Linked DNA regions of Struthio camelus. The protein of the gene in region 3 binds, or shares a complex with, the protein of the main gene of each other region. Links are inferred from orthologs where the notes say so. Each region holds a gene or a part of one and is shown on either strand. Other genes may lie near its edges.

The links. The genes of interacting proteins can lie anywhere in the genome.
Region 1: the proteins of MAD2L1 (region 3) and MAD2L1BP are in contact, whole or in part, in a crystal structure (PDB 2QYF), measured with the Homo sapiens proteins. The link is inferred for Struthio camelus from reciprocal best matches to the Homo sapiens genes MAD2L1 and MAD2L1BP. Residues at the interface, in NP_002349.1 of Homo sapiens: Tyr33, Arg45, Thr52, Leu54, Lys122, Asp126, Glu127, Arg129, Ser130, Arg133, Gln134, Thr136, Ala137, Thr138, Thr140, Phe141, Leu142, Leu144, Glu179, Val181, Arg182, Leu183, Arg184, Tyr199, Asp205; in NP_055443.1 of Homo sapiens: Pro61, His79, Tyr82, Gln83, Gln85, Pro88, Leu89, Pro90, Gln93, His96, Ala185, Leu187, Arg188, Phe191, Arg192, Phe195, Asp198, Ala199, Phe200, Ser201, Glu202, Leu203, Gln204, Ala205.
Region 2: the proteins of MAD2L1 (region 3) and MAD1L1 are in contact, whole or in part, in a crystal structure (PDB 1GO4), measured with the Homo sapiens proteins. The link is inferred for Struthio camelus from reciprocal best matches to the Homo sapiens genes MAD2L1 and MAD1L1. Residues at the interface, in NP_002349.1 of Homo sapiens: Tyr38, Leu61, Tyr64, Asn67, Val68, Trp75, Gln82, Lys83, Ser89, Ile91, Glu92, Ser93, Gly94, Arg99, Gln101, Ser150, Phe151, Asp152, Leu153, Leu154, Ile155, Tyr156, Thr157, Asp158, Lys159, Asp160, Leu161, Val163, Lys166, Trp167; in NP_001013858.1 of Homo sapiens: Glu527, Arg528, Ala530, Leu531, Gln532, Gly533, Asp534, Tyr535, Gln537, Ser538, Arg539, Thr540, Lys541, Val542, Leu543, His544, Met545, Ser546, Leu547, Asn548, Pro549, Thr550, Ala553, Arg554, Leu557.

The regions. Positions count from the first base shown.
Region 1 is NC_090944.1:103,726,018-103,733,158, forward strand, and holds the start of MAD2L1BP (MAD2L1-binding protein), read left to right. Parts: upstream 1-4,057; 5' UTR 4,058-4,060; coding exon 4,061-4,405; exon of another isoform or gene 4,406-4,414; intron 4,415-4,981; coding exon 4,982-5,512; 3' UTR 5,513-7,141. Other genes in the region: GTPBP2 (GTP-binding protein 2), read right to left, coding at 186-212, 2,254-2,436. UniProt on the Homo sapiens protein: May function to silence the spindle checkpoint and allow mitosis to proceed through anaphase by binding MAD2L1 after it has become dissociated from the MAD2L1-CDC20 complex.
Region 2 is NC_090956.1:6,271,132-6,278,996, forward strand, and holds the start of MAD1L1 (mitotic spindle assembly checkpoint protein MAD1), read left to right. Parts: upstream 1-4,781; 5' UTR 4,782-4,879; intron 4,880-5,046; exon of another isoform or gene 5,047-5,174; intron 5,175-6,164; 5' UTR 6,165-6,168; coding exon 6,169-6,318; intron 6,319-7,615; coding exon 7,616-7,756; intron 7,757-7,865. Other genes in the region: MRM2 (rRNA methyltransferase 2, mitochondrial), read left to right, coding at 287-318, 992-1,281, 2,074-2,498. UniProt on the Homo sapiens protein: Component of the spindle-assembly checkpoint that prevents the onset of anaphase until all chromosomes are properly aligned at the metaphase plate.
Region 3 is NC_090945.1:20,326,923-20,333,927, forward strand, and holds MAD2L1 (mitotic spindle assembly checkpoint protein MAD2A), read left to right. Parts: upstream 1-3,957; 5' UTR 3,958-4,082; coding exon 4,083-4,158; intron 4,159-4,321; coding exon 4,322-4,468; intron 4,469-4,579; coding exon 4,580-4,700; intron 4,701-5,224; coding exon 5,225-5,328; intron 5,329-6,107; coding exon 6,108-6,280; 3' UTR 6,281-6,963; downstream 6,964-7,005. UniProt on the Homo sapiens protein: Component of the spindle-assembly checkpoint that prevents the onset of anaphase until all chromosomes are properly aligned at the metaphase plate.

The DNA.
Region 1 (7,141 bases), on a different chromosome or scaffold from region 3:
GCTCAGCATACTGAGCATTGCTACATACAGAGACCCAGAAGTAGACAGATAACTCCTTAGTCCAGTGCCTATTTTTCTGTCCCTTTCTTGAACGTGTCCCCCATATGCTGTCTTTGCTGAAGTTACTCACTGCAAAATAATCCTCTGGGAGGAAGACCTCCCTCTGCAAGGCTCAGAAGGCTCACCTTGTACTCGATGTTCCCATCTTCTGCCTAGTCAGAGAATGAAACAAGATAGAAAGGTCAGACCCTGTGCCAACAGGGACAATAGGCACCAGCCACCCAGGCACTGTGAAGCTCCTGCTACCATTTTCAGAGAGAGGGAAAACTGCAGAAACATACAGTGTTAGTCACAGCCTCTCCTGCCATTCATTCCTACATTGTACTGGAACTTACTTTGGGTTCGTTTCTGCTGTTTGCATCACACAGTACGAAAAACAGAGGCTAAATTAGAGTCATTTCTTTTACTGACAGCAAAGGATGAGGCCAGTCTGAAAGTCAGAGAGACTTTCAGTTTCAAAAAAACAGCACAGGCTGGCAGATGATCAGAAGTCTCCACGCACCCCACTCAATTCACATCCCACACTGCCACCACACACTATCCAGCACCTTCTGTCCGCCCAACGTGCATGAAAACAGCTGGCTGGGGGTAAAAGTCGCTGTCTCCTCTCCCACACACCGCTATGCCCTTCATCCAATTATTTTTTCATCGACTCTTTCCTATATCCATGCACATCTACCTTGCAGAGAGAAGGACCTTCAGACATACGGAAGCAAACTACTGACTTGTTTGTAGTACAGCAAAGTAGTCACTGGCCTGACAGTTCTGGAGAAGCAGATACGATCAGGAGCGTCTGTGGACAACATCCTCGGAAGGGCTGCAGTCAGATTGGATTGTCACAGCCCGAAACAGAAAGACTCATTAACTCATCGAGCGCACTCCAACCACAACAGGCACCAACTCTCAGAGAAAACGTATGGCCACTACTGAAGTAACTTTCCCACTGCTTCAGTCCAAGGACCACTGAGAAAGGGCTGGAGCCTGCAGGACACCAAGTACTCTGACAGACTAAACCGGGCTGCCAGCACTGAGCACTTCCCTTTTCTCTAGACACTGATTTGCACGTCAAGAGAGGCAAGAGCCTCTCCTTGCCTTCTAGTTCAGCTCCTAACCACAGCAGAGCTTATGGTGGCAAAAGGCCAACAGAGGGAGGCTCTGAATTATCAGCTCTGCTCTTGGCAGTGAAACTACTCAGTGAGAGAGCAGTACTTGCAAAAGGTTTTCCTGTTACCATCCACCATCCTTCCAGCTCTAAGAGAAACACTGCACGCACATGCAACGCTGTATGTGATAAGGGGGTGGTGGGTCGGTTTCAAGGCAGCCGAGACCAGAAAAGCAACAAGTCTAGACTTGCTGGACCACACAGCGAACAAGGCAGCAGAGGACAGGAAGCTGTGCTGAAGCCACAGGGACCGTCCAGCCTCCAGCTGAAAGGAACAAAACCCAACTGCAGCGGCAGGGGACAGTCCTGTCCGTGGAGCAGTCATCTAACAGCAGCTAGGCCCCGTACTCCCTGCTGCCACGGGGAATTGCTCCCCCTCAGCAGGCTCCTACCTCTTTTACAGGACTCCTGTTGACCGGGGCTGAGCAATCAACTCCGGGGCAGCGCAGGGCTCGCCACAGCGGCGGTCCTATCGGTTCCCCGCCAACTGTCTGAACTAACCAACACGCTACTTATTGCCGATACCGTATTTTCCGGCGGTAAGAGGTGAGCGAGAAGACTGCCTCTCACGTTGTCAGCGCCCTCCGCACCCGGGCGCGAGGGCACAGCGGCGGAGCGAGCCGCGAAGGGTGTCACCAGAAGCTGCCGAGCGGTGTCTAGTAGCTCGGCAGCCGGCAAGACGCCGGCACCCACCAGACCGACTGCCCAGCAGCGGTGCCAACAGCAGGCTTGGGACTGCGAGGCGAGCAAGGTTTTACTCCCCGAGCCGTTCAGCTCCCCGACGGCAAAGCACTGCCAGGGGCACGCCAGGCAGCGAGCCGTCGCCGACGGACGCGGTTTGGCCGAGCGCGCCGGGGGCTGCCCGGCACCACGAGCGCTGCCACGTCAAACCCGCGGCGGGGGAAACGGTGCCGGCGGGGCCGGGCTCAACCGCCTGCCAAACCGCCTGCCAGGCGCCGAGCCCCGCCGCCCCCCACCCCACCGGGACGCCCCGCAGCCCGGCCCCGGCCCGGCCCCGCCGCGGAGCTCACCTCGGGCGGCAGGTACGGCGGGTTGTTGGCCTTGGCCCCCCGGCTCCGCCCGCTCTTCTTCTTCGCCTTGGAGGAGCCGCCGCCGCCGGGCGCGGCCCCCCCGCGCCCGCGCAGCGCCCCGCCCGCACCGCCGCCCGCCGGCCGGCAGCAGCCCCCGAACAGCTCCGACACCCGCGAGTCCATGGCGGCGCGGCGCGGCGCGGCGCGGCCCGGCCCGGCCCGGCCCGGTGCGGCGCCCGCTCCCCGCCCGGGCTCGGCTCGGCTCGGCTCGCCGCCCCGGCCCCGACCCCGGCCCCGGCGTCAGAAACCGCCGCGCGGCGCCACGGGAAACTGAGTCCCCGCCGCCGGACTACACTTCCCGGCACGCCCCGCGCCGCCCCCCACCGCTCAGAACTACGACTCCCAGCACGCCCCGCGCCGCCCCGCTCCCGCTCCTATACGGGCTCCCTCGGGCGGGGGCGGACGGGAGTTGGAGTCCGGGGGAGGCGGGAGGGCGCCGCCTGGCGGCCACCGCGGGCATCGCCGACAGGTCGCGCCCCCCAACCCCGGGTGCTCCCCCGCCCCTCTCCTCGGCCGTGCTTTGGGGAGCGGGCCTGGGCCAGGGAACCACCGAGGGTCTCCGAGGGTGCAAGGCTGAGGGAGGGGGTGCTCCTCCAGCACCTGCCACCCTCCCTTGGGGACTCTGCAATTCGCAGCTTATGTTGCCGGGGCGCAGCCTGCTGCACGCTTCGAGCCCTGATACCCTCCACTTCAGTGACAGCTATTGGCACCGATTCCGGCTGGCAACAGGGACAGGGAGCCAAAAGGTTTTTACGAATAAGGTTTGCATCAGAAATACTTAATAGCTATACAGAAATGGTATCACAGCACGGAACTATAGAGAAGATACCATAAGCTCTGCTGAGAAGGGTAAAAGCAACAGGCTGAGGATGAGAACCTCCTGCCACGTGTTGTCACCTTCTCTGCCAGTAATGCACTGCATGTTTTGCCACTCATTTGTCTCTCTGATGCTACTACTGCTACTGCCAGTAAGCCTCATTTTTCTCAGCTCCATCCCCTGGGGACAGAGATGCTCGATTAACATGTGCTACCATCAACAGCTTTTAAAGCCTTTGGTGCTTTTAAGAGGTAGCCAAGGTCGCCGTGCTGTGCGCACACAGCGCTCCTCACCCTACGGGAGCACTGGGGAATTGCTCATCCCATCACCCACCGGCGCGACCGCCCTCCCCGGGCCGTGTTTTGGAGGCTGCGCCCAATGGGGCTGCGGCCACGTTGTTTCCAAACACGACAGGCCCTGGCCGCACGCCACCTGGCCCGGCTCCCCCGCCTCCGCCTGGCAAACAGCTTCGCCCGGCGCGGCAACGCGCCGCAAAACAGCGCCCCGGGAGCAGCCCAGCCCGGGCAGAGCCAGCGCGGCTCCCCCCCACCCCGGTCAGAGGCCTGAGCGGGCTGGGGGGCCGGCAGGGCCTTCGGCTTGGCCCCGGGGGGCGCCTGACGGGCGCTCGGGGACCAACGGCACTGAGGGAGAAACCGCCCGCCCTGCCTACGGGAGGGCTCACGGCGCCCGCGGCTGGGCCGGCGGCGCCTCAGCGCAGCGGGGCCGGGGGCTCCGGCCTCACCAAGCACCCGCACGGCTGCCGCACCCGGAGCGAGGGCAGCGCCCCCACGTAGGCCCGGGCCCCGCTCCGCCCCCACCGAACATGGCGGCGGCACCGCCCCGGAAGCCGCGCGCGAGAGCGCTCCCATGGTGCCCCGCGGCGGCGGCCATTCAAATCCGCGCTGGCCACCGCCCGCCGCCGCTCAGAAAATGGCGGCGCCGGGCGGCGCGGAGCGGCCCTGCGCCCCAGCGGTGGCTGTTGCGGCCGCCGCCCCCACCCCTCCCCGGCGGGCGACCTCTGCCTTGTCCCCGCTCCTCACAGCCGAGGCGCCGCCGGCCGCCCCGGAGCGCGGCGGGGTGAGGTCCCGGCGGAGCGGGGCGGCGGCGGCGGCAGCGGCGGGGTGCCCCTCGGTGTCGGTGGTGTTCCCGGGCGCCGTGAGCCGTGAGAGCTGTTGCCGCTTCGCCTGCGAGCTCCTCAAGCACGTCCTGCACCAGCGGCACCAGCTGCCGCTGCCCTACGAGCAGCTCGTCTACTTCTGCCGGCGGGCGGCGCAGGTGGGCGGCGGGGCCGGGGCCGGGGCCAGGCGCGGGGCCGGCGCGACGCGGCGCTCTGCTGGCGCCGCGGCTTGGCAACGGCGTCACTTTCTCCTGAAACGAGACGCCCGCGTTAGCTCAAGCCTTAGCCATGCCGCAGCCTTGTTTTAAAATAAGGCCGACAGCTAAAAGTGTCAAGACGCTGCTGTTAATCCCTTGCGTCCCAGTTTCCGCTCAAAGTGCGTGGCTCGCTGTTTTGCGTTTGTGGCTCGGCCAAGCCCACCGCACGCTGCCTTGCTCTCAAGTGGCTTCAGGGTGGTTTCCCCACCTTTGAAAGTTGGGGTCCCTAATTGTTGTGAGGATTCATTAGTAGCCTGATGCAGGTTCAAGCTGAGCAGCTACCGAGTGGCCTTTTGCATTCCTCTCGGACCTCCTGATTCCATATGAGCTGCCCTGTACCTCTTAAAAGAAAAAAAAAAAATCTGTCCAACCTCCCTTGAGTGTTAGGGAAGGGATGTGCTGCACCTCACAAGAGTGTATTAAGACCTCTTCCCTATTTTTCTCAAGTATTCTAATTCCCCCTCCTCCCCCTGACAGGATGGAGACGTGATTAAGAAGCCGCCCTCCATGGACATGGCAAGCAAGAAATGCCAGCAGGTGCTGATGGAGCTGGAGGGGGTGCTCCAGCACTTGGAAGTGATGTTCAGTTTGACGCTGGTTCCCCGTGTTCTTATTCTGCTTGGTGGCAATGCTGTGAGCCCCAAGGAGCTTTATGAGCTCAACTTAGAGGGTATCTGTGTGGGCAGCGCTGAGGAGAGCCTGAAAACCCCATTCTGCGTGCGTAAACTTTTTCACTCGCTCTTCATAGCGGATGTCTTCAGTGAACTTAAGGTTCTCCCCATCGTGGGCACTGTCGTTATGCTCCAAGGACACCGCGACTGTGGTGTTGATTGGTTCCGGCCCAAGCTCAACTACAAAGTGCCGACTCGAGGAAGGAAACTAACTGTCAACTTGTCCTCTGATGGAGACGTCAGTATAAGTGCCTCATCTCCTCAGGGTATGACATCGGCCTGGGAGGATTACATATGGTTTCAAGCACCGGTGACACTCAAGGGATTTCATGAATGACTCGTGCTTTATAGAACTTCAATGGATTATTGAATAACCTTTGGTGCTGCTTTAGGTGATGACTATTTTATCAAATGTAATTGCATATTCTTGTCTCTCTGGATCTTTTCTCCAGGGCATCTGCTATCTTCCTGTAGCTGGACTGTGTTCATCTTTCTATGAAACAGCTGTAAAATTCTTCCCCATGTTGTTATTGAAAACAAATACCTTTTAAGGTACAGTTACATATCGATACAGGCATTCTTTAGGAACCTGGGCTGTGGCACAGCAGATGGAACTACTGTGCTGGGAGTAAAACTTTCTTGCAGCATGCTTACTGAACTGGCAAATACTGGATATGATCTTCTCTCTCCTGAGTTTTAATGCAGCAGTTCCTCTAGCAATAATTATTACTTTACCAAATTGTCTCAGACTCTAAATAATGCACGTGATTATTAATGCAGTTGGCCTTTCCAGGGCTTAGTAGCCTTTATAGTAAAGGCTATAGCAATTCTTACCTATCCCACTGCTGGGAAAAGAGATCTTTCCCTTTAGTGTGATCAAATTTGAATACTTAAGTGTTTGATCATCTATTTGATAAAATTAGACTTCCCATAATTCAATGTCAGCTAGTTAATCATCCAAAGAGTAGGACACCTTAGCAATTGGGAGGTTTCTTACCTAGCACTGTGCTGTACTTGTGAAAAAAGGTTAAGCAGTCCTGTGGAGGCAGAAAAGCACATTTTGGTGTCTCTTTATGAACCTTGACTCCAACAGCCCTGACAATCAGTTTGTTAAAATCAAGAGTAAGTAATTTTTGTTCTAACACTCTTCAGAGGAAGTTAGGACTCCTGCCCCATTATGCTGTTTTTTTCTCCTTTAAAAAAAAAAAAAAGGCTCAGTTCTTGCTTACTTTTACCTCTTAGAAATGTTAGAGTCTTAGACTCTAAAGCTTGCTGAGACTCTAAAGCTTGCTGAAATGTGGAGAAGAGATGATGGGGATATGATCAACTTCAACACTGTCTTTAACTGTGAACTTCCTGTTCCAAATTGGAATGCTCTGTATTACCTGGAAGTAGAACTTGAGCCCTTTCTTCTGTACCAGGTCTGGTGTCTAGTGCAGAATGGGACACAGAGAGAAACCCTTAGAGTACGCTGTGTCAAACTAGATATCCACTGGAGTCGTCTTGCATCAGCTGGGTACGTACCTATAATGCAATGAGTTTAGTAGCTCCAAATATCTCTCTCCTGTTTGAAATTGTAGGCTACTGGTAGTGAGGTTGCTTGTAGTTTCTTACTCGCACTAGTGAGGTACTAGAAGATCTGTTGAAAGGAGGCTCTGCACTTATTCCTTTAAAAAAAAAAATTGTCTGACCTTTTGGAATGGAGTAAGATTGTAGAACGGGAAGCAAGGTAGTTAAGTTGACGTTTTTGAGCTTGGAGAATGCCAGGAGTGCTGTCTCTGCCTTACTATCCGTTGGTTAACAAAGATGTGGTGACTGCTAAAGCTAGCTCCAGGAAGAAATTGCTAGAATGAAGAAAGCTGCCTTAGGTGCAGCTGCCCACTTCAGCATGTGATCACAGGTCTCTTGACTGAAATGTGACTTGAACAGGTGGAGTGTTTGATGTGCTCAGGAGATCAAAACCCTT
Region 2 (7,865 bases), on a different chromosome or scaffold from region 3:
CCCCCCCCAAAGCCTCATTCCCCCCCCATGCCCGGTGCCCACAACCCCCCCCCAAAGCCTCATTCCCCCCCCCATGCCCGGTGCCCCCGGCACCCTTTCCCCAAATCCTTGCCCGGTGCCCCCCAGCGCCTGACCTCCCCCCACACGGCGAAGAGGCCGCGCACGGCCCAGGCGCGGCGGGCGGCAGCGGCGCCTCTTCCCGCGCCGCCGCCGCCGCCGCCGCCGCCGGGTCGGTGCCGCCCCCCGCGCCGCCCCCAGCTCCGCCCCGCCGAGCCTGGCCGCCATCATGGCGTGGCGCGGGCCCGGCGCCGCCGGCAGGTGCGTGGCGGCCGCGGCTGAGGAGAGCGGCGCGCTGGGGCGAGCCGGGGCGGCGGCCGGGCTGCTGCCGAGGGGCGGAGCGGGGCCTCGGGGCCCGGCGGGCTGCCGCTCAGGGAGGGAGCAGCCTCGGGGGTCTTGTTGTCCCTTCTTGACTCATCCTCACCCTTCACCTTAGAGCAGGGGCGCCCTCCCGGGCCGGCAGGGACGGGGGCGCCTGTGCGCGCTGGGGAATCCGCCGTCCCTCAGGGGCGCCTTGGTCGGGGCGCCTTAACCTGGCCGGGCCGCTGCTCTTCTCCTCAGCTCTGCCTTCGGTGTTGGTGGTTCATAAGGGCTGCTGCACATTGGGTGAACGTTGCTATAAGGCTTAAACGCGAAAGCCGGGGTGGAAACAGGGAGCTGTTAGGAAGGGGATCGTCCTTCCCCCTACCTGCTTTGTTCAGGGAATGGCGTATGAGGCCTTGATCCAGAACGAGGCTTTTTTTGTTGTAACTGGAACCGATAACTAAAGATGCTGCGAATGGCCAGGATTCCAGTGCCTGAACTGGAGGCTGCTGGAGAGCGTGGTTATAAACGGGAGCAGACGTAATCGGGGTTAGAAATAGTTCCTGCGGAGAGCTCTGAAATACACTGTGGTGATGTGCTAGTCGGTTAACTCGCCTCTCTTCCCGGGTAGCGGCCGGAGTTTGGTGAGCCTATCCCTGCGGTGCCGATGCTTCCACGCTGCGGTGGCGCTCCTGAAGAGAAAGACTGGAGCAGATCACCAGTGGCTGGAGCGGCATTTGAAGGACCCCTTTGTCAAGGCAACGAAGCAGCAGAATTACCGCTGCCGAAGTGCCTTCAAATTACTGGAGATAGATGACAAGCTTCACATCCTCCGTCCAGGACTTTCTGTGCTTGACTGTGGAGCGGCGCCTGGCGCTTGGAGTCAGGTTGCTGTAGAGAGGGTCAATGCCTTGGGTACTGGTAAGTGCACACGCGCTGGCACCTGAGATGGAGGTAACGCTCGTTTTGAAGTGTGTGGGAAAGCTCAACTGTGCTGATGGCGGAGCGGGGAAGGTACGTGGGTACAGACTGTCGCCACAGCCACTGATAGAAATTTCAAGTAGCAAAGAACTCAAGATTCCTGGCCCCAGGGTGATAGTAAAGAAGCGTAATTCTTCATATGGTCTGGAGAAATCATATCTATGAAATTAAACCCTGGGATGAGGTGCTGCTATAAGACTAGCTAAGTCTTCTGCTTAGCTGAGTTGGAGGAAGTTACTATATAAAAGGCTAATGAAAAGGCTGGGTGAGATCCCCTCTTCATCTGCCTCTGAAATTCATGTGGCCTCCAGCGGGTAACTTACTAAATTTTTGTTTCCTTTCTTGAATAACGGCAGTAACCACTACATACAGCTTATGTGATTTAGGCCACTAATATTTATAAGATAAAGTATTATCGTCTGTATTATTGTCCAGAATTTTTGGACTGCCAGCCTCGAAAAAATCGACAGAAAAAAACCAACAAAAATACCTCTTGCGTATCTGGAATAACTGCCTTTTAATGTTTTGTATGGAGTAGCCTATAGCAAACCGTCTATCCAGATATGTGCAGCAAACTCTTTATGGAAGGACAGGGAGACCGTGTTTGGCTGCTGATACGTTTTTGTGTATTGAATATCATGGAGCTCAGGTATATGCAAGTTGCTTGTAGCCCTTATATCATAAGAGCGATCAGTGTGTCATTCATTCTGACGACAACTCTTTGTTTTCTAGATCCTACTGTCCCTACTGGTTTTGTCCTTGGAATTGACCTTCTGCGTATTTCCCCACTGGACGGAGCAGTCTTCCTGTCAGAGACTGATATTACAGACCCAAGCACGCTTAGGACAATTCACAGTCTGCTTCCTGCAGAGAAGGTGGATGTTATCTTGAGTGATATGGCACCTAATGCAACAGGCATCAAAGAACTGGACCATCAAAAGTTGATCAGCTTATGTTTAGGCCTTCTGAATCTGTCGCAAAGCCTTTTAAAGCCAAAAGGAACTCTGCTCTGTAAATTCTGGGATGGACAGGACTCCCGCCTTCTTCAAGGCAGACTGAAGGAGCAGTTTCAAGACGTGAGAACTGTAAAGCCTCAGGCTAGCCGGAAGGACTCTGCTGAATCTTATTACTTGGCAAGACTGTACAAAGGGAAATGAAAGCTGAGAATTGCAGATTATCGAACTGGTGATCAGACACTGATTGGAAATCTTTACTTGGCAGGTATTTAAAAAAAAAAAAAAAAAGGCAGGCATGAAGACCTCCAACATCAACTGTCACATTGTTGAGAACAACCTGGGAGAATATACTGCAATTCTTAGGAAGTACATCATGCTTTTCAAGTACAAAAGTAAAACCAGGATGGTGCCCTGCTGAGTTTATCCACTAATTATACGAGCAGAGACATCCAATTTAGCTTCTCACCTGTGGAGAAAACTGTTGGGAATGAAGAGGAATAATCTGAAAGGCAACCTCTGGGGCTGGAGTAATGGAAATAAAAATAAAACAGTGATTACAGGTTTTTTTTTTTTTTTTAATGCGTGTGCTTGAAAATCATTGCACTACTACTGCTGTCATATTGGAGACTAACCGTAAAGGCAGTTTCCAAAATGAGAGGGGACAACAAGGGGAGTGTGAGCCAATTTATTTCTTCTCTGTCTTTCTTAAAAGCTGGTACAATTTCTTAGCACGCTTAAAAATAGATAACACTCTTGTGCATGTCAGAGTCTGCGTTGTCACATACAATCTATAATGCAGACGTTCAGAACGTATGACTCCGGCTCTGGGATATTGCAAAGCTTGGTGGCTTTGCTGCATTAGCTAAAGACACGTGTTATATTTAGAAATTGTTACTTCATTGTACTCATAAATCCAGTAAACGACAGAGGCTCATCACAGTTGAGAAAATAATTTTTCCCTATATCTTCAGTAATGCTTCATGTTTCACTAGTGATGTTTGTTAGGTAAAATGGCGAGATGTTCCTTGGATCCCAGATAGGTAAAATTACTGGTTGAATTGTAGAGTTCTATTTGCAAAAATAAACATAGCTACTATCTTATCTGGAAGTGACAGCTTTTACATTAAATAGGTCTTTTATCAAACTCTGTGAGGCATGAGTTACAGGAGGGGCTGGTAGCACTGCCTGTTTTTAAGGCTTCCAGATATTTCTCATTATAGACACCTCATTTTCAATGGCTTAAAATATATCAAATTTTAACTAGTTTGTCTGAAACTTTCAATTCTGGATCTCTCTACTTCAACAGTATGCCTGGAAGTGTTAGCCAAACAGCCTAAACTAGGAAGCTGGATGTTGATTTGCGTATGTTTGGGGGGAACAATTATGGCAGTCTGCTATTTGAAAACTTTGTTACCCTGTGATTTGGTAGCAACTACAACTGAGCAGGATGTTTCTATTAACCATGTGCTGTTTACTTTTGTTGCTCTGACTGCGGTTGCGGGAGGGGAGGATGAATTCTGACTGAACAGGAGTGTTGAAAGCCTGTCCGTGGGACAGGGTGAGAAGAGGGAGGAGAAGGGCGGCCAAAGTGGTGCTGGAAATGAGGCTGGATGCTAGAGAGGCTGTAAGGAGGGAAAGAAAGAGCAAACGGGACAAGGCCTAGAGTTTGGGGGGAGCCTGGAGGTAACAAGGACAACGTGAGGAACGCAGAAGTCTGGCGGAGCTGGCGTTGCAAACGGACAGCCGCAGGGAGGCCGAGCTTGGAAGATGCGGGCGGGAGTCCATCGTGGGAGGGCCAGCTACAACCCCTTCTCCGTGACGGTATTTCCCCTCTGAACTGGGAACGGAGCCCTGCTGCTAGACTGATTGTCTCCCTCTGCGAAACCCACGGGCAAAGCCTGTGTCTTGCTGATGTTTAGTGCCTGGAGCATCTAACCTACATAGCGCGGACTCTGGGGAAAGGATGAAAACAGAGGCCGCATGCCTCAAAGCGGGCCCCCGGGACTGCTGGCTTTTTGCTGTTACCTGCCTTTTCTTTTCCCTGTAAAATGAGGTTGATACTTAAACTTATGATCACAATAGCCCCATGGGATGAGCTTTCGCAGTTTTCTTTTAATCCCCATAGATCTCTATTTTACTGATACTTTAAAAGTGAGCGATGAGAATCTAAGAAACAGCCGGAGCAGCTCAGTTTTCTGGAGGGTTTGCTAAGGGCAGCAGCAGCTGATCAGAGCTAACGCTCCCCTTTATCTTTCCCAGGATTTTGCTTTTTTCACTCCGCAGCACCGGCACGTGCGTGGGCTTGGCGAGAGGCAGGTCCTGGCCTAAGGGCAGAGGGGACGGGGCAGCGTTTTGGGCAGCCGGGGGCAGAGCGAGCGCCGCATGTTATGGGGCAGCGGAGCCGTGCTGGGGCGCGCCGGCCGGACATTACGGTAGGCGGCGCTGCTGCGCGCACGCACTCGCAGCATTACGGCGGCCGCGGGCGCTCTTCTCGCGGGAGCTGGGCGCGAGTTCCCGTGAGATCTCGGCGGCGGGGCGAGGAGGGAGATCCAAGCGGCGGCGCGCGCCGCCGGCTGTGGCGGGTGAGTCCGGCCCGGCCCGGCCCGCGGCTCCCGCCCCGCCGCCCCTCGCGCCGTCCCCGTGTCTCCGTCCCCGTCCCTGTCCCCGTCCCCCCCGGCAGCCCCCGGGGCTCCCCGCCGGGCCGACGCCGGGGCCGGGCAGCGCGGCGCGGCCTGCCGGCCGGCCGGAGCCTGTGGTGAAGGGCGAGTTGGTCTTCCCAGTCCCCTTGTTTTCTCCGGATCCGTTTGTTTCCCGAACGGGCTCGCTGGAGCCCGGTTACCTGTTGGCACTGGTCTCTTTTGGATTTACTGGTGTCTGGTACTGAAGCCCTTACTTCGAATAAACGTTGTCGTTTGGTTTTTCCAGCTGGTCTGTTGTTAGTGTGCTTCTCCTTCCCCCCACCCCCCCACCCCCCTTTTCGTGGTGCTGTAAATTGTTAAGTGCTGCGCTGTGCTGCTCACGCACGAGCCTGGAGGTTGTCCCAGCGCTGTGTCCTGTGCAGATGTTGTGTTTTGGGGTTCCTGGTTCTGGGACTGCGTGAGGTGTAAATCCCTGCAGGCTCCTGAGGTCTCCTGAGAGCAGCTTACAGGCTTCTTTGAGCTCCACGCTTGACTTATCTTTGGCCTTCTAACAACGCTTTGAGGGGAGAATTTCAAGTCTGTGCGTGAACGAGAGCCCAAAATTTCACTTTTGAAAGTGACCTTAGAACCTGGGAAGTCTCGTCATTGAAAGTTAGGTTCCAGAGTGACTTTTGGAAACCAGGATCAGGTTCGTAGCTGTGTACAAGGTAGAGTTTGCTCTATGGGTTTAGGTCTTTTCCTACCCCCGGCCTTACAGTGTGTCGAGGAAGAGTAGCAAGGGTTCGGTTTGTTGGTGTTACGTGCTGTGGACCTCCCCTGGCACAATGTTAACTTGTACCCCAGCTTTATTCTGATCATATAGCAAGGGAGAATTCAGTCTTGCGTAACTTATGACACCTCTTGTTTGTATATTTATGGGCTGAGACTCAGGGGAAAATGTATTTAAATACAAAATGTACAATTTCAGGTGGAGAACTAAGGGGAGAGAGGTTCTCTTGCATCAGTCTCTCATCTTCAGCCTCAGTTGGATAGTGTTTTCTGGTTCACACTGATCCCAGCAGTAATCTGTGAATCTCAGCAGTCACTAACAGTTTGGGTTTTGTATGCTGTAAATAGGAAGATCTTGCCTTCAGTGTTACCCAGGGCAGTGTGTCTCTTGTTAGAAGAGCAGCCAGTAGACACTAGGTTGCTCTGAATGTTTTGCTGATAACTTTCTGTGTATTTGCAGAGCCATGGAGGACTTGGAAAACAATACTACTGTCTTCTCCACCCTGAGGTCTCTCAACAACTTCATTGCACAGCGTGTGGAGGGGGTGTCTGGGCTGGCTACGCCAGGATCATCGCAAAGCTCTTTGCAAATGCAGTACCAGCAGAGGGTGCAGGTGAGGTATCCTCCTCTTGCTGATACCTGCAGCATCACCTCACTATGAATGTAGACTCCTTTTGATTCTGTGTGATTCAAGATCGTTTGCATTAAGACCTGACCGTTCTTTCTAAAATTGCTATTTATGCATGCTCAGTAATGGAGAAGTTTGCTTTGGGTGAACATTCTTTAAGTTTTTTTTAAGTGTTAGCCTTATGTGTATTTCTGTCTTGTGAAAATTTAAGGAAAGTCCTTTGAATTTCTTCCTCACTGATTATATCAGTATACCAGCTCAGAAAATTAAATTGTAAGTTGCTTTCAGTCTGCTGCTTAACAGGTGTATTTCCAGTAAGTTATCTTGTTTACCATTTTTCACCACCCTCTTTAAAATTTCTTTGCCTTGATGCATATAGGAGACTTGCACTAGTGCCATGGCTTCGATATGCCAACGAGTTTTGCTACCTTATCCTCTTCTATTCAAATCCATTGATTGTTGTGACTTTTTCCTGTAAGCTGCCTTTCTGATTTTGTTTTGCTTTGTGTTCATAAGACATCTAGTAGGATGACATCTTGGACTCTATATTAGGGACTCTATATTAGACTCAGAAACATTTCTGCAGTCTATATCTTGATATAAGTTCTATTTAAATTCCTAAGTATACAATAAGGTGGTGGTTGTTTATTTTTTTTTTTTTTAATGTAAATCTCCTTTGCATTGAGGTTGCTGACAAAAATTTGTGTGTTTTCTGTCTGTAGTACTTCTCTGGTTACAGAGCCTTCGCTAGATATATGGTGATCGTATATTGCTTAGAAGTGAGGTGTTCTATTAATATTATAAGTGCTTTAAAATAATTTTGTACGAAGCATTCAGTCATATAGATAAAAAATATATTGTAACAGGTTGTAGAAAAACATGCTATTTTGCTCAACAATTACATTTCATGGGAAAAATGAGCTCTGCTTCTTGGTTAGTTGCTGTTACTTTTATAAAGCTTGGGGGATTTGGAATTAACCCTCTTTTAGGTAGAGAAGTGTGTTTTGTCAGATAGAGGGCCTCTAGAATTTGGATGAGAAATTCTTAGTGAGGAATTTAAAATTCACTTGTTTGTAACTAACATTAATTTGACGTGGGTTTCTGAGCATGTTGTCGAACTCTTAGCCTTAGCTTCCCAATCCGCAGCTTGTTTGGGAAGACGTAAGTGAGGTGATAGTTCCCTTGTAATTTTGTAAAATACTATGCAAGTGTCAGCTGGATAGTATGGGTTGCAGTGCTATTAATGATGTGTAATATCCCTCTTCACATATGAACTGGCCAGTTGGAAGAACAAGCTGGGCAGATCCATTCCAAATCTCAGCTCCTGCAGGTGGAACGAGAGAAGATGCAGATGGAGCTTAGCCACAAAAGAGCTCGCATTGAGCTAGAGAAGGCAGCTAATACTAATGCCAGGAACTATGAGGTAAGTACAACAGCTGCTGATGGTTTGATATCATAGGCCTCAGTCAGAACATATGTAGTACATCTATGTTAGTGTTTTAGTTTGGGTCAGGGGTGTGGTTTTGATCATG
Region 3 (7,005 bases):
CTGCCAACTACAGCAATGGGCAGCACTCTAAAACCCTAAGGAGAATCAAAGGGACACAGAAAAAATAGGAGGGAAGAAGGCAAAAGGGTGAGCTATTTCTATGGGCTCCTAAGTAAAGGATCTCCTCCTTCAAGTGCAGGAAGAAATGGCTCTAAAGAGATTGAGATCTACTAGAAAAGGATAAGCACTAGGGCTCTCTTAGCCAGGGTAAAACCTCCTTTCTCTGCTCAGGAAAAACTGAATTTACTGAGGCTTAACATGGCACCTCGTTAATGTGATAAGATGACTTTCGTAGCAAAGAAAACTTTCATTTTACAGTCTGTTTTACTACACTGAAAGGAGGGGCCTGTCACTGTTATCCTGAGGTTTAAAAAAAAAAAAAAAAAGAAAGAAACACACATCTCAACAACTCAAAGCTTTATCACCAAACGACTATGGGAGCATGACCTCAGTTACCTTGAAAAAAGTGAAGCAGTACCAGTGATTTGGACGGTAACAGATTCATTGACAATTGCCATGGGAAAGCAATTGTTAAGTGTTACAAAAAAGCCAAGCTAAACAGGGGACGTTTCCTTCCACAACATGAATTAAAAACAAAAAAAATCTGTCAGAACATGAAGCTGTAATTGAGAAGGAGAGTAATGACTGAAGAATCATAAGAGAACTAAATTCAATACAACTGGGACTTCACATTCCTTATGAAAATTAAGATTTCAGCGTGAGATAATTAAAGCAAGGATAGCCAACTCATGATGTGCCAAAACATATAACTCAGCTTGTCATCTTCATTCCTGAGAGTCCCTCAGAGCTGGTCAGGAAGCAGGCTGTCAGCCACACAAATCATTCACTAACCCACAGCAGTCTCCCTGCTGCTCTCCTTTAGAGCCCCATAGCCTGCCATTCGTCATGTAGCTGGACATGCCCTAAACACATCCTATAGGCATAATCATTGCACGGAGCATGCCCATTCAGTAACATGACAAAAGGACTTTATGTACATGGGTCCCCATCATACAACAGTGCTCTGATGGGGCCATCGGGCTATGGTCAAGTGATGGCTGCAGATCTAATTACATGACAGATGAGTGCAAGCTCCTGGAGTGCCTCTATTAGGGGATATTGGCTTGACCTGGCAGAAAAGCTGAGTGACAGTGACCTAAACAAAGTGAAGAAAATGAAGTCAGGTGTTGTGAAGCTTGGGACTTGTAATGGGGAAACAAAGATGAGATAATGGGAGAACTTGAAGGAAAAACAACAAACACACACTGTCAAATAACTAAACCTTCATGCAAGTGAATTATTGGGGTGAGGGGGGGAAAGGACAGGAACATCTGGATGACACGAGAAAGAAAAAAAATGTGAAGAAGAACATTCTAACAAAAGAAACACAAGGAGTAAGAAAAAGAAAGATGCTACTTCATGGACTAAAAAGATTGCACTTTTCAGAACTAATGAATTGGCCACTGAAAAATAATACCTGCTAAAAAACAAAGAGAAATGTTAGGATCTTTGCATTACAAAAGAAATTCAGCAGTATTAAACACACATAGTTTTTATCATTAGATTACATTTCCGTATATAGGAGAAATTTAAAGCAAAACAGTGACAAGTACTGTAAAAGGGGAATGCATTCCTCTAAAGAGACAGAGAAATGCGAACTGCACAAAGCAAAGGGGCTTTTGGGGGTAGGGGAGCACATCACGAGATGCAAGCCACTGTAAACTGCAATAGAGAAATAGAGAATCAGGAATAAAGAAGCGTTGCAAAACACTGTGAAATATCACGTGCCAGGTTCACCGAATGCAGCTTAGAACTTTAACAGAGGTATCAGGGATCACTCCTGTCTCTCATTACCTCCCAAACGAATGTTGAGAGAAATACGTAAGATGCAATTTAAGTCTGCTGTTGACAAACATATCAGGACAGTCGTATCAACAACAGATCTTCAAACCATCCAGCTGAAATACAGTGAAATGAATCTGTGGTAAATGAATTCATTATTGCTCCGGAAGACTCTTAGGAATCTACTAGAGCTATACTTAGCTGAATTTTGCTTCCAGAGGCATTTGTTTTTTTCTTTTTCTTCCATTTTAACTGTTTTAAACCAGCTGAAGGATAAATGTGTAAATCATGATCATAAGCTCTAATACACTTGCCTGGCCTCATGCAACAGCACTTTCAAGCCCTTTTTTTCAAAAAAATGAGCAGCCCTCCAAAACCCTCAGAGAAAACAAAACAGATGAAAAGCCACGTGGGAAAACAACAGTCCTGATACCATTTTGGGACAGAGGAAGAAAAGCATGATAGCACTTAAAGGTTTAAAAGAAAATAGCTGATATTCACAGCAATCCAGTTTCAAGATTAACAGTGCTTTCATAACATAGAATTTGAAGTATACCACACTCAATCAGAAAACATTTTTTTCAGAAAACTAATGCATAACACAATCATCAGTGATCATGACCCATTATAAAGTTCTCTAGGATAACTACAAGATTATTTAGACACTTTCAGAAGTTCAACACATGGTTTCCAGACCATACTATTTGCTTTAATCTCAGCAGCATGAACCTTGAAGCAAATGGTACTTCGTAGTGCAAAATTTAGTTCCAACAAAAATTCTTTGCTGATTTAGTTTTTTTGAGAAGCATTTTACTACAGCAAAATAAGCAATCTCATTATCAAGTCACTCTTTTAGCAGTTGGCCACTGCACTGTGTAATGATCATACAGTTTTTATTCTGTGTTTAAAATATTTTACCTTTACTTTTGTCATTTTATTTTAAGGCTGCTCTGATTAGATTCTTTCAAGGCTAACAAGGGCATCTAAAATAGGTATGTTGTACATAATGACATGTATTCTTTTCAGACATTTCAGAAAAATAAAATTCAGGGAAGCATTTTATTTGCAGCTCTTCTGTGCCTAACATATGCATTCACCTTTCACTTAGTGCTTCCTTGGCTGTTGATGTATCAGTTGGCTCATTACTGGCCACCTAGCTATTATCCCAGTAAACTATGGCTTCTTCTCTTCGAGATACTATTTAAATATCCCAACACTTAAGATGTACTTGCTGTTTCACTTCGTCTCTCTTACCTGTTAACCTGTGGCAGTGTTTCCTCCCTGCGATAATCACGACTAGCTGCAGGGTTTTCTTCCTTGCTGTCCCTGTAATAACAGGATTTAAGTGCTTTGACTAACTGGCAATTTCCCTACGAGATAGTCTGATGGGGGGGGGGGGGGTTGTATGTCCAGAGAGATGACTTTGTGGGTCCCCTATCTTTCTAAGTGCTTATTTTTAAGTGCTTACTTTGTGCGTTTCCCATTATCCTATGGACTTACAGAGAAATCGCCTTTTTTTGTTCCCCTTACTTAGGTTCTTCCTGCCTGTCTTCTGACAACGCTTGCATAAAAATCGTCCAGAAGCAATTAGATACCTGCTTCACTTCATTCACGCTACAGCTTGGTTTACCGGCGAGAATCGCAGAACAGAATATCGTTTCTGTGTTCAAAAGTGCCTTCATACAGGCAAACGCACCTGAATTCTTGACACTGAACTTCCAAGCACGCTTCTGTGAAAAGCCACGCTCCGCCCGCAGGCTGTGCCTCCCTCAGCCCACACACCCGTGGCAAAGGCACATTTAACTTTTTTTTTTCCCCCCCTCCCCCCCAGGTAGCTGCCCCACCTGCGCCCAATCACCGTTTTCATTCGGCTGGTCACGGAAAAGCAACCCCGCTTCCCCACCAAGAGACGCGCTCTGGCCAGGCAGGCGGCGCACGTACCCCCGCTCCCAGAGGCGAAGGCAGATGCAGCCGCCCAACCACCTCACAACCGGCCCCGAACGCGGCGCGAGCCGCCCACCCCCTAACGGCTGCCCGCCCCGCCCCGCCGCGCGCACGCCCACTAGCGCCAACGGCAGCCCAACGGCCGGCGCACGTGCGCGGAGGGGCGGGGCCGGCGCGGCCTGGCTAGCGCGCGTGCGCCAGAGCGGGCTGACGACAGAGGAAGAGGCGTTGGGGCAAGGGCGGGGCTTGATTTCAAACCGGGCGGCGGGGAGGAGGCGGTTGGGCCCGGGGCCGCGATGGCCAAGCAGCTCGGCCGGGAGCAGCAGGGCATCACCCTGCGGGGCAGCGCCGAGATCGTCGCCGAGTTCTTCTGTAAGCGGCTGCGGGGGGGGCGCGGGCGTGCGGGGGGGCGCAGGGGGCTGCTCCCCGCCGGCCTTCGGGCCGCCATGGCGGTCGGGGCGGCCTGGCCCCGTTCCCCCTCTTCCCCCCCCACCCCCTGCCTCACCCTGCCCCGACCTCCCGCCGTGTGTTGCAGCCTACGGGATCAACAGCATCCTCTACCAGCGGGGCATCTACCCGCCCGAGACCTTCACCCGCGTCCAGAAGTACGGGCTCACCCTCCTGGTCACCACCGACCCCGAGCTGAAGAACTACCTCAACAACGTGGTGGAGCAGATGAAAGGTGCTGGTGGAGGGCGGGGGGTGCCGGGGCAAAAGGCTGCTCAGGCCTCCTTGCTGGATTTCTGCCTATCCTCTTGCTCATGCTGTGAGTAACTGCTGTGGCTTCTTTCAGAGTGGTTGTACAAGTGCATTGTGCAACGGCTGGTGGTGGTAATCTCAAGTATCGAAAACAACGAGGTTCTTGAGAGGTGGCAGTTTGACATAGAGTGTGATAAAGCTGCAAAGGATGAGAGGTGAGTACCCGTGTTCCTCTGCGCCTGCTCTGGAAACACAGTGCAACCAAGATTGCCCTTCCCAATATGAGTAGGGAAGATTTCTCTTCAAACCTATTACCTAGCCTGCTGCTATTCCTTTTGTTCCTCTCTAAAGCAGTTGTTGTAGTACTGCAGCATACATAATCCTTGTGTGCTGTAAAAACAGTATCAGATAAAAAATGTGATTTTTTTTTTAATCTTCAACAAAACATAAAATTGCATGCCCTTAGAGAGCTAGTTTTGCTTTCCTATTGTTCTGCCAAAATACTTTCTCATTCACTCCACACTGAAGATAACAGCATCTGGCTTTCCTTACAAGTACTGTGAAGCTTCACAGAATTTTCTAAGCCTGTTTACCTAAGACGGAAATGAATGTCCTTGCTACGCAAAGCTAGCCATATAGCAAACAAACCAATGGCAGCATAATATAACACTGTATTTAATGAAAGCTGCTAGTGTGGCAGAAGACTCCTTCCCTAACAAAGCTTTTTTTCTTCTTCTAGTGTACCCCGAGAAAAATCTCAGAAAGCTATTCAGGATGAAATTCGATCTGTTATCAGACAAATAACTGCTACAGTAACTTTCCTGCCTTTGTTGGAAACTGCCTGTGAGTATTCCTGACTTCACTACAGAAATCAAGCACTTCTTGCAGAAAAAACCTGCACAACTTTTCTATTTTAGAAAACCTTTTTGTTTACCTTCTTAGTTTTTTTTATTATGACATGAAATGTCACACACTGTACCATATCTGACATGAGATTGAAGTTTGTTAAACAGATCACATCTCCTGCAACTGTGCATAAAACTGAAAAGGTATGTCAAATCAAGTATTTCATCTTAAAGAATTATTCCGTACTGCTTATTCTACAACAAACAGTAAAAATCATTAAGGTAAATGCTGTTCTCATTGAAGAACTTAAAGCAACTTCATTTGAAGGGACTAGTGGTACGTTCTGCCCTGAAACACTTATAAAACTTCTTTTGTCAAAACGACAGAACTCAAGGTGGTTTAACTGGCTTAATGAAACCAGCAAGTATACTTGGTACTCTATATAATTCTGTATGACAACAGCTGTGAATAGACTTTTATGAACACAAAGCACAGAATCTATCTGAAGCAACTACTATGAAGAACTCAGCTGCTTTAACCCAGTATTTTTTTTTGAAGAGATGTTAAATTCAAACCTTTGTTTAAATAGAAAACTGTCTACTAATCTGATTGTAGCCAGGACTTTCCATTTTTAAACATGCTTCCTTCACATAACTAGCATCACCGTAATACCTTAAACTTCTACTAAAGTCTCATCTTCTAGAAGAGGCACTTAATCTTCAAACAAGCTGAGTTTTACGCATGTTTTACTATTAACTTTTCCCCTCTGCTTATAGGTGCCTTTGACTTGCTGATTTACACAGATAAAGACTTGGCAGTGCCAGAAAAGTGGGAAGAGTCAGGGCCACAGTTCATAGCCAATTCAGAAGAGGTTCGTCTTCGCTCCTTCACTACCACAATCCACAAAGTGAATAGTATGGTAGCTTACAAGAAGGATTCATTTCCTTAAGATGTACTTTTTGTCATCGGTATCCTGTCTTGTGGAGCTGCACTGTGAACAAACTAAGTAATCAACAGAATCCTGTTACTGTGGCTGAGACTAAGTGTAATACAGAAAGAAGACAAAGCATTCTTCTATGATTACAGATACTGTGATGTCACACTAGTCTAAACCGTCATCCTTTTCAGGAGGTATATACAGGATTTAACTATCGTTAGAAACTACTTATGCTTAACAGTCAATGGTGTGTTAGGCTATGCTGAATCAGCTAGAGACGCTGCCTAAAGGCAGGATCAGTTGCTGGAACGGTCTTAAGAGCTTAAGTTACAGGATCTTAAGATTAAAATATAGAGTTCCATTAGCACTCTTCAAGTCTCTCTTTTGGTATTTAAAAACCCTGCTCTTAGCATACCAGCTTTTCATGGTAAAAGTCTAGGTTGTTGTTACTATAAACAATCCTAAAACTAATCAACAGAAAAATTCTATGTATAAAAGTTACTTGTACCTCCTAACCATTGAAAGCAGCTGTTTATCAGAAAAATCAAATGTGCAAAGTCATGTATATTAATGACTCTTCTCGACTATGTAGTTTTTGAGGATCTTGTTCCAGATTGGTGTGTACCTATTTCTTCAGTGTCTGTCAAATATCTATGTTCGTATTTGTGTCTTTACAGAATAAAGTTGTGCCAGTTTTCAAGTGTTCTTTATTTCAAAGTTTGTTGCTCCATATGTTA